Oryctolagus cuniculus: one gene and its partner. The protein of the gene in region 1 interacts with the protein of each later gene in a pairwise test. Links are inferred from orthologs where the notes say so. Each region holds a gene or a part of one and is shown in the gene's direction. Other genes may lie near its edges. The genes, in order: CEP126 and HMOX2.

Region 1 (4,366 bases):
TTGTGGACCTTTGAAGAGTGAATTAGTGAATGGAAGATCTCTCTTCCTCCCTATTCCCCATTACTCTATTCTTAGAATAAATAAATCTTTTTTAAAAATCATGTTTCTTAACACAATGAAAGCAAGCAATAAGGTAGCTAATAGTTACAAGATACCAACTAATAATATAGCAAAAACCAGATTTTCAGGAAAACGTAAATTGCCTAAAAACTCCAAACTGCAACCATGATTTTCTCATTTTATTTGCATTTTGCATTGCCCTACTTTGCCAACTCACAAATCCTGAGAGACAGAGTTGTGATATTAATAGCAGGAATAGAATCAAGGACAATGCCTGCAACTAGATCAATTTAAAACCTGCCATGATAGCGAATTGTCCAAGTGTACATGTTTAGTCTTTCTTTGTCAGGATTATATATTCTACCTTCTTGGTACAATCCTAAAAGGGACTTTTGTGTGTTTTGTGCTTAAAATCAAAATTGAATTTGTTGTGGGACTTTAAAATCTCAGTCCCCAGAACATATTCCAATTTGAGTCATTGCATCCAAGTTTACAAAAACTTGGTTCTAAGTAGTTTTAGCTGGAAAAGTTCATTAGTTCAACTCTAAAAATGAAAATATTATCGTCTCTTGGCCTTTTGGCTAAGATCATGTGTAGTATCTGCTCTTATCAGTTTAAAAATGAAATCATTGATTCACAAAGACAGAGAGAATGGTGGGTAAGTGATCTTTATTTGGTCTGTACATTCTGCTTCCAAACAGGAGTTTTCCATAAGAAAAAAAAAAGAACTAGATAAAAATACAATCAGAAGTGCTTTTATGTTGGACTCCAACAAAAAGTTTCAACCTTTTTCCAAATTTTCATTTATATAGCCTTTAAATTCATGGTTCAAAAATACATTTAACTTAACTCCTGGAACAATTTCAATACAATGGCTTAGTATATCCTCCCATGAAATTATGCGCTTAAGTCTGGACGCCTTTCCAGGCCGCCTTTGCTGTATTGGCCCATTCCCAGAGTCTGGCAGCAAGGCCAGAAATCTGAAATGTAGGCCTTCGAAGCAGGGCGATGGCCAGGAAAAGGACTACAGAGAGAATGGCAGAAGCATCATCGAGTGGGTGAAATGAGTGCAGGGAACGCAAACTTACACTGCACAAAGGCTTTTTTTTAAGAGATGATGTTTGGAAATAGTGATACCCCACACAGGATTCAGTAGTTAACAACAAACCCGACCCTTAATTAACCCAGAGATTTCAGAATCTGCCCTGCGGCAGATGCCTGGTCTACGGATTTTGCGTCCCAATGTCTTCCATCCCTCTCTATACTGCCACAAAAACAACCTCAAGAAACGGGAGGTAGAAGGCCCTGAGGCGCAACACAGTGGTTCTAGTGCAAACATGCGGCCCCAGGGGACGCCTCGGGTTCTACCCTAGGACCGCCAGGCCGCTGAAGGCTGGCGCGGCCGCTGGCGCCTCCTATTGGCTGCCTCGAGCGCGCGTTCCGCCCCGCGCCGCGCTCCGCCCTGGTGTCAGTTGCGAAGGACGCGGCGTCGGTTGGTTACCAAGATGGCGACGGCTGGGAGACTGCTGCCACCTTTGCTATTGCCAGGCAAGGTCTTCGCAGTTGCAGCAGCTGTCGCCACCACGGTCACGAGCGCCTCTGCGTGGGAGTCAGGGCTGCCGCGGCCAGTCTTTCGGCGCCCGTGACGCGGGGCTTGAGAGAAGGCTTGTGGGGAGGGGCCGAGGACGAGGAAGCCGGAGCTGCTATGAGGGAGGCGCTAGGGGCTGGCGAGGAGGTGGCGCTGAGGTGAAGGATGCTGACTGGGAGGCCGGGAGCCAGAAACGCGGTCCCAGGACTGGGCACTGACTCCTCCGACACCTGCGGCAGAGCGCCCCTCAGCCCCCAAGAGAGCGGCGGGCGTCACCGACCTGGCGCTTACCTGTATCCTTCCCAGCCTGTGGCTGCCGGGGTGGCGGTGTTGGCGACGAGGCAGGTGTTTTCCCCATAACTCCCCATGACCGCGGCCGCCAGGTGATGCAAATTAGCAAGTCATCTTAATGCGGGTGTTCTCATTGCCCCCACCTAATCCCGTTCTGCGCCCCCTTCCCCCTCCGCCCTGTTGTCCTACCCCATTCATCAACTTCTTTGTAAAATGTCGGGGATTTTTCAAATAGAGAAACCGTGTATTCTGTAGGAGTTATTTTTGCCTTCTAGAATGATGCCTTTATGTTCTTTACTTACATATTAATCACTTCTTGGTTAATCGTGCCACTTAGAGAAGTGGGAAAATAGAAGGAGGTTTTGCTGTCCTGAAGAATCCGTGAGAACAATTAACCTAGCACGTCTAGATCTGTTTAGCAGAGCTACTGAAGCCTAGCCCTGCTTGGTGATTTGTTTTGTTTTCTCCCTGTGCAGTCTGTTGTCACAGAGACAGCAGAGAAGAAATGAGAAGGAAGGGACCCGAGCTTCCCAAAACAGATTGCCTGGGACTTTTCCCTCATTTTTAGTTGAAGCCAACTTTGATGTTGCTGTTGGTTGCCTTGTAGATAAGCGAAAGAGTTTTGTTTACACAGTTTGCAAACCATGTTTATTCCTTCAGAGACTGTTGTGATGATTAGAATTTAACGTTTGAATTCTCCGGGGACTAGTTGGCAGGGATAATAGTGCCTAATCATCTTCATTCTTGTCTTCTCTTTCCAAAGTAACCTTTATTTTCTTATCCCTATTGTCTCCAACTTTTTCTGGGATGTCCTTTTAACTCTGTTGGAATTTTAACAGCATGTAAGCAATTTGTATTGATTATCTGCTTTTTGGCAGGCTCTGTTCTAGATTCTAGGGATATAAATTAATAAAAAAAGAGAGGTAGGTACAGAGTTTTACTAAGAGTAAAATATCCCTCTTCTGAGCATAATTTCCTGCACGTACGATCCCTTCTATTTCTTTGGTGAAGTTTCCAAAATTATATCCTGCAATAGCAGCTTCTACTTCCTCTCATCTGTTCATAAATAACTCCACTGAGTTTGACTTTTGCACTTGCTACTCTCAAAAATATACTCTGATATGAACTGGGTTATTTTTCTGTATTCATTTGACTTTGCCCTTGTGACATTGTATTTTCCTGGACACCAAACTCCTATTACACTGAACCTGATTTATCATGAAATCAACAGGGACATGGTAAACGGTTCGTGGACAAGGTGTTTCTACTATTGTCATTAATTAAATGATCAAAGATAAAATTGTATATGCAATGTAATACATACAAACACCACAGAAAATACTTGTAAATATAAGGGGACTACAGAAAGTTCCTGGAAAATCTGCTATCATTCACATAATAAATATGAGGTCTCTGCTAACATGACCCCAGCAGTAGATGCTCAGTGAATTTCAAGGCAACATGTTCTATACTTACCAGCATATTTATGACCCTTTATCTTTATGCACTAAAATAAATTATCTTTTAATTCTACTTTTTGACAAACTTTTTGAAGAACCCTCATGGAATTCAGCAGTACATCAAATGAACACACCAAATAGGCTTTATTCCAGAATTATAATGATGGTTTCCTAAAGAGAAATATATACTTTAAAATATAAAGACAAAATGTATTGTTAAGTTGTAAATTATCATTTCTTTTTTAGGTTTATTTATTTTAAATTTTTTTATTTAAGGTGACCATTTTTAATGTATTTATTGCAAGGTGTCTGGCGCTTAACAAATCTTCCCAGGCAGACGAATCGAATCATTAATTCACAGGCTTTTATTGGGATTCCGCTCCCAGGCGAGATTCCCCAGTCCCAACAGAGCGGGGGCGGGGAAGTCATGCATCAGAGGTTGGGAGGGCTCCTTTTATAGATTCAGGGCATGGGGGTTAAAGGTTGAGGCGGGTCTGAACCTCAATGGTTGACCTTTAGGCCCCCGCAGGGACCTTGACAAGAACTTTTCTTCCCCAGAAGTACAGGTAGGGACTTCTCCATTCCCAGAAGTGTAGGCCTTCCTTCCATGTGGATCCCAAAGCTACCATCCCGACCTTTTGATGATAGGAAAAGGGGTGACGATGAGTCTCTCTGGCTACTTCCTGCTGACTGGGGACATTGTCTACAGGGGCCCGCTGTGGGTATCTTGGGACTCCACAGGGACAGGCATGTATGGATGGAGAAGCATCTGGTTGACTGGTTGCTGAAGGCCTTGGTTCATTCCATTATCACCTGATGTAAACGCTTAAACAGACACTGTAGTATACAAGTCAAGGTGAGAATAACAACCAATGATCCTAAGAGTGGCATTAACCAGGTAATGAGAAGATTTCATAGAGGAGAGGAAATGAGGGGGGGGTCTCTGGACCCTTGTGAGGTTTGTTTG
Region 2 (4,549 bases), on another chromosome or scaffold:
AAGATAGATAGAGATTTTCCATCCACTGGTTCACTCTCTAAATGGCTGCATCAGCCAGGTCTAGGCCAGGCTGAAGCCAGGAGCCAGTAACTTCATCTGGGTCTTCCACATGGGTGGCAGGGACCCAAAAACTTAAACCATCTTCCACTGCCTTCTCAGGCACAGTAGCAGGAACTGGATTGGAAGGGGAGTATCCAGAACTTGAACCTGAACTCTGATATGGGATGCTGGCTTTAAAAGTGGCTGCTTAGGCCGGCGCCGCGGCTCACTAGGCTAATCCTCTGCCTTGCGGCGCCGGCACACCAGGTTCTAGTCCCAGTCGGGGCGCCGAATTCTGTCCCGGTTACCCCTCTTCCAGGCCAGCTCTCTGCTATGGCCCGGGGGTGCAGTGGAGGATGGCCCAAGTGCTTGGGCCCTGCACCTGCCTGGGAGACCAGGATAAGTACCTGGCCCCTGCCATTGGATCAGCGCAGTGCACCGGCTGCAGCGCGCCGGCCGCGGCGGCCATTGGAGGGTGAACCAACGGCAAAGGAAGACCTTTCTCTCTGTCTCTCTCTCTCACTGTCCACTCTGCCTGTCAAAAAAAAAAAAAAAAAAAAAAAAAGTGGCTGCTTAATCCACTTTGCCACAATGCTGACCCACTAGGATATTTTTATGTTGCTGAAAAGCAGTGCCATTGCCAATTCTTGCATGCAATGAGAGACAAACTTTTTATTTAACAGTTAAATTAACTGCTTGGGTTGGGTTCTTTTGTGCTAGAAGAAATTTTAGTATGGTGGCCACTCGAATGTTCTCTAATATTGTAACTATGTATTTTGCTTTCCTGTACTCCATTAATTTGCCAGATTTTGTCTCCTATTGTACCATGTATCCCCCCCCCCCCCGTTTTTTTTTGAAGATGTATTTATTTATTTGAAAGGCAGAGTTACAGAGAGGCAGAGAGAGTGAGAGTGAGGTCTTCTATCCGCTGGATCACTCACCAAATGGCTGCAGTGGCTGGAGCTGGGCGATCCGAAGTCAGGAGCCTGGGGCTTCTTCCAGGTCTCCCACATGGGTGCAGGGACCCAAGGACTTGGGCCATCTTGTACTCCTCTCCTAGGCCGTAGCAGGGAACTGGATGGTAAGTTGAGCAGTTGGGTCTTGGACTGGCGCCCATATGGGATGGTGGCACTGCAGGAGGCGGCTTTACCTGCTGTACCTGTGCCGTGTATTTTAAAGTAAACTAGTAAAGGCATTTGAGTTCCTCAGAAATTCTTTCTTAAAATTTCTAATAAACTTCATATGGTACTGGCCAAGCAGTGTTTACGCATTTGTAAACGTCGTTACAAATCTGTATTGCAAAACGTACTACGTATTTGTAGATTAGGCAGTCACTTACTTTATTTTGCAAGAAACCTTGTCTTTCCATTTAAGGATATTGTTGGTTATTGGGGCCGGTGCCGTGGTGCAGTAGGTTAATCTTCCCGTCTGCGGTGCCAACATCCCATATGGGCGCCGGTTCGAGTCCTGGCTGCTCCTCTTCCGATCCAGCTCTCTGCTGTGGCCTGGGAAAGCAGTAGAAGACAGCCCAAGTACCTGGGCCCCTGCACCCAGGTGGGAGACCCAAAAGAAGCTCCTGGCTCCTGGCTTCGGATCGACTCAGCTCCGGCTGTTGTAGCCATTTGGGGAGTGAACCAGCGGATGGAAGACCTCTCTCTGCTTCTCACTGTATGTAACTCGACCTCTCAAATAAATGAAGAAAATCTTTAAAAAAATATTGTTGGTTATTGAGTTTTAGTGTAGATGACGTAATGGCATGTAGCTGTTGTGAAGGGAATCCCTTTGCACACAGCGTATCAGAGGACCACATCTAAATTGTGATCCTGGCCAAAGTGGAGCCATGAACTCTTTTTTTGGTCATTAAATCAACTGCATCTATGTTCAGATGTGACAGGGGAATATTCTGAACTGTCAGGTAGGCATTTCAAAACAACAAAGGCCTGTTCTTGAGGAACAGATTTTACTGTTTTGGTACTTAGGCAACTTTTAACAAACATGAATTTCTTTTTTTTTTTTTTGGAAGATTTATTTATTTATTTGAAAGAGTAACACACACAATCATAGAGAGAGAGAGAGAGAGGTCTTCCATCCATTGGTTCACCCCCAAGATGGCCACAGCTGCTGGATCTGTGCCAATCTGAAGCCAGAAGCTTCTTCTGGGTCTCCCACCTGGGTGCAGGAGCCCAGGTACTTGGGCTGTCTTCTACTGCTTTCCCAGGCCATAGTAAAGAGCTGGATCGGAAGAGGAACAGCCGGGACTCGAACTGGCTCTCATAGGGGATGCCGGCACTGCAGATGGCTGCTTTACCTGCTACACCACAACGCCGGCCCCAACATGCACTTCTTAATACGATGATATTTTTTTTTTTTTTTTGACAGGCAGAGTGGACAGTGAGAGAGAGAGACAGACAGACAGAAAGGTCTTCCTTTGCCGTTGGTTCACCCTCCAATGGCCGCCGCGGCTGGCGCGCTGCGGCCGGCGCACCGCGCTGATCCGATGGCAGGAGCCAGGAGCCAGGTGCTTTTCCTGGTCTCCCATGGGGTGCAGGGCCCAAGCACCTGGGCCATCCTCCACTGCACTCCCTGGCCACAGCAGAGAGCTGGCCTGGAAGAGGGGCAACCGGGACAGAATCCGGCGCCCCGACCGGGACTAGAACCCGGTGTGCCGGCGCCGCTAGGCGGAGGATTAGCCTAGTGAGCCGCGGCGCCGGCCTAATACGATGATTTTTTAAAAAGATTTATTTATTTATTTATTTGAAAGTCAGAGTTACCTAGAGAGAAAAGGAGAGACAGAGAGAGACAGGTCCTTCATTCATTCACTGGTTCACTCCCCAGATGGCCACAACGGCCGGAGCTGCGCCGATCTGAAGCCAGGAACTAGGAACTTCTGGGTCTCCCATGTGGGTGCAGGGGCCCAAGGACTTGGGCCATCTTTTACTGCTTTCCCAGGCCGTAGCAGAGAGCTGGATCGGAAATGGAGCAGCCGAGACTTGAACCGGCGCCCATATGGGATGCCGGCACCACAGGTGGCAGCTTTACGTGCTACGCCACAGCGCTGGCCCCTCTTAATATGATTTTTTTTTTTAAGAGTGCAGACACACAGTTGGAAGACATTTTCTTTTTTTAAGATTTATTTTATTTATTTGAAAGAGTTACAGAGTAGGCCGGCGCTGCGGCTCACTAAGCTAATCCTCCGCCTTGAGGCGCCGGCACACCAGGTTCTAGTCCCGGTCGGGGCACTGGATTCTGTCCCGGTTGCCCCTCTTCCAGGCCAGCTCTCTGCTGTGGCCAGGGAGTGCAGTGGAGGATGGCCCAAGTGCTTGGGCCCTGCACCCCATGGGAGACCAGGATAAGTACCTGGCTCCTGCCATTGGATCAGCGTGGTGCGCCGGCTGCAGCGCGCCGGCCGGGGTGGCCATTGGAGGGTGAACCAACGGCAAAGGAAGACCTTTCTGTCTGTCTGTCTCTCTCTCTCACTGTCCACTCTGTCTGTCAAAAAAATAAATAAATAAATAAAAGAAAGAGTTACAGAGTGAGGTGGAGACAGGGAGAGAGGTCTTCCATCTGCTGGTTCATTCCCCAGATGGCCTCAACAGCCAGATCTGAGTCAATCCAAAGCCGGGAGCCAGGAGCTTCTTACGGGTTTCCATGTGGGTGCAGGGACCCAAGGACTTGGACCATCTTCTGTTGCTTTCCCAGGCCACTTCAGAGAGCTGGATTGGAGGAGGAGCAGCTGGGACTAGAACTGGCACCCATATGGGATGCCAGCGTTTCAGGCCAGGACTTTAACCTGCTGTGCTAAGCACCAGCCCCATAATATGATTTTTTAAAAAAGATTTATTTATTTATTTGAAAGGCAGAAAGACAGGGAGAGACAGAGATGGAGACAGAGATGTCTTCCATCTGCTCATTTACTCCCCAGATGACTGAAACAGCTGGGGCTAGGCCACACCAAAGCCAAGAACCAGGAACTCCATCTGGGTATCTTACATGGGTGGCAGAGGCCCAAGCACTTGGGCTATTATCCCTTACCTTCCCAGGTGCATTGACAGGAAGTTGGATTAGAAGCAGAGGAATTAGAACTAGAACTGGCACTCCAGCATGATATGCTGGTGTGACAAGTGGTGGTTTAACCCTCTATGCCACAGTACTGAGCTTGGTGATATATTTCTTTTAAGCAGATACTGTGATTTTATTTATTTTCATTTTACTTGAAAGAGAAACAGAGACAGAGATCTTTACTGGATGTTTTGGGGAGTGAACCAGCAGGTGGGATCTCTGTCTCTCTGCCTCTCAAATAACTAAAAAATAAAAACAACAAAAAACAAATGCGTTGTCTGGTCTGCTTAGAGGAATAGGAATTCTATCAGAGTGACTTTATTCTTGCCATTTAGAGATATTGAAAAGGGCTTGTTTTTATTTTTTAATTACTATTTTTTAAAGATTTATTTTATTTATTTGAAAGAGAGTTACAGAGAGAGGTAGTGACAGAGAGAGAGGTCTTCCATCC

The links.
Region 2: the proteins of CEP126 (region 1) and HMOX2 interact in a two-hybrid assay, tested with the Homo sapiens proteins (2 studies listed by BioGRID and IntAct). The link is inferred for Oryctolagus cuniculus from reciprocal best matches to the Homo sapiens genes CEP126 and HMOX2.

What each region holds. Positions count from the first base shown.
Region 1 is NC_091432.1:93,341,227-93,345,592, forward strand, and holds the start of CEP126 (centrosomal protein of 126 kDa), read left to right. Parts: upstream 1-1,527; 5' UTR 1,528-1,813; coding exon 1,814-1,941; intron 1,942-4,366. UniProt on the Homo sapiens protein: Participates in cytokinesis. Necessary for microtubules and mitotic spindle organization. Involved in primary cilium formation.
Region 2 is NC_091450.1:31,120,914-31,125,462, reverse strand, and holds the start of HMOX2 (heme oxygenase 2), read left to right. Parts: upstream 1-1,535; 5' UTR 1,536-1,680; coding exon 1,681-1,707; intron 1,708-4,549.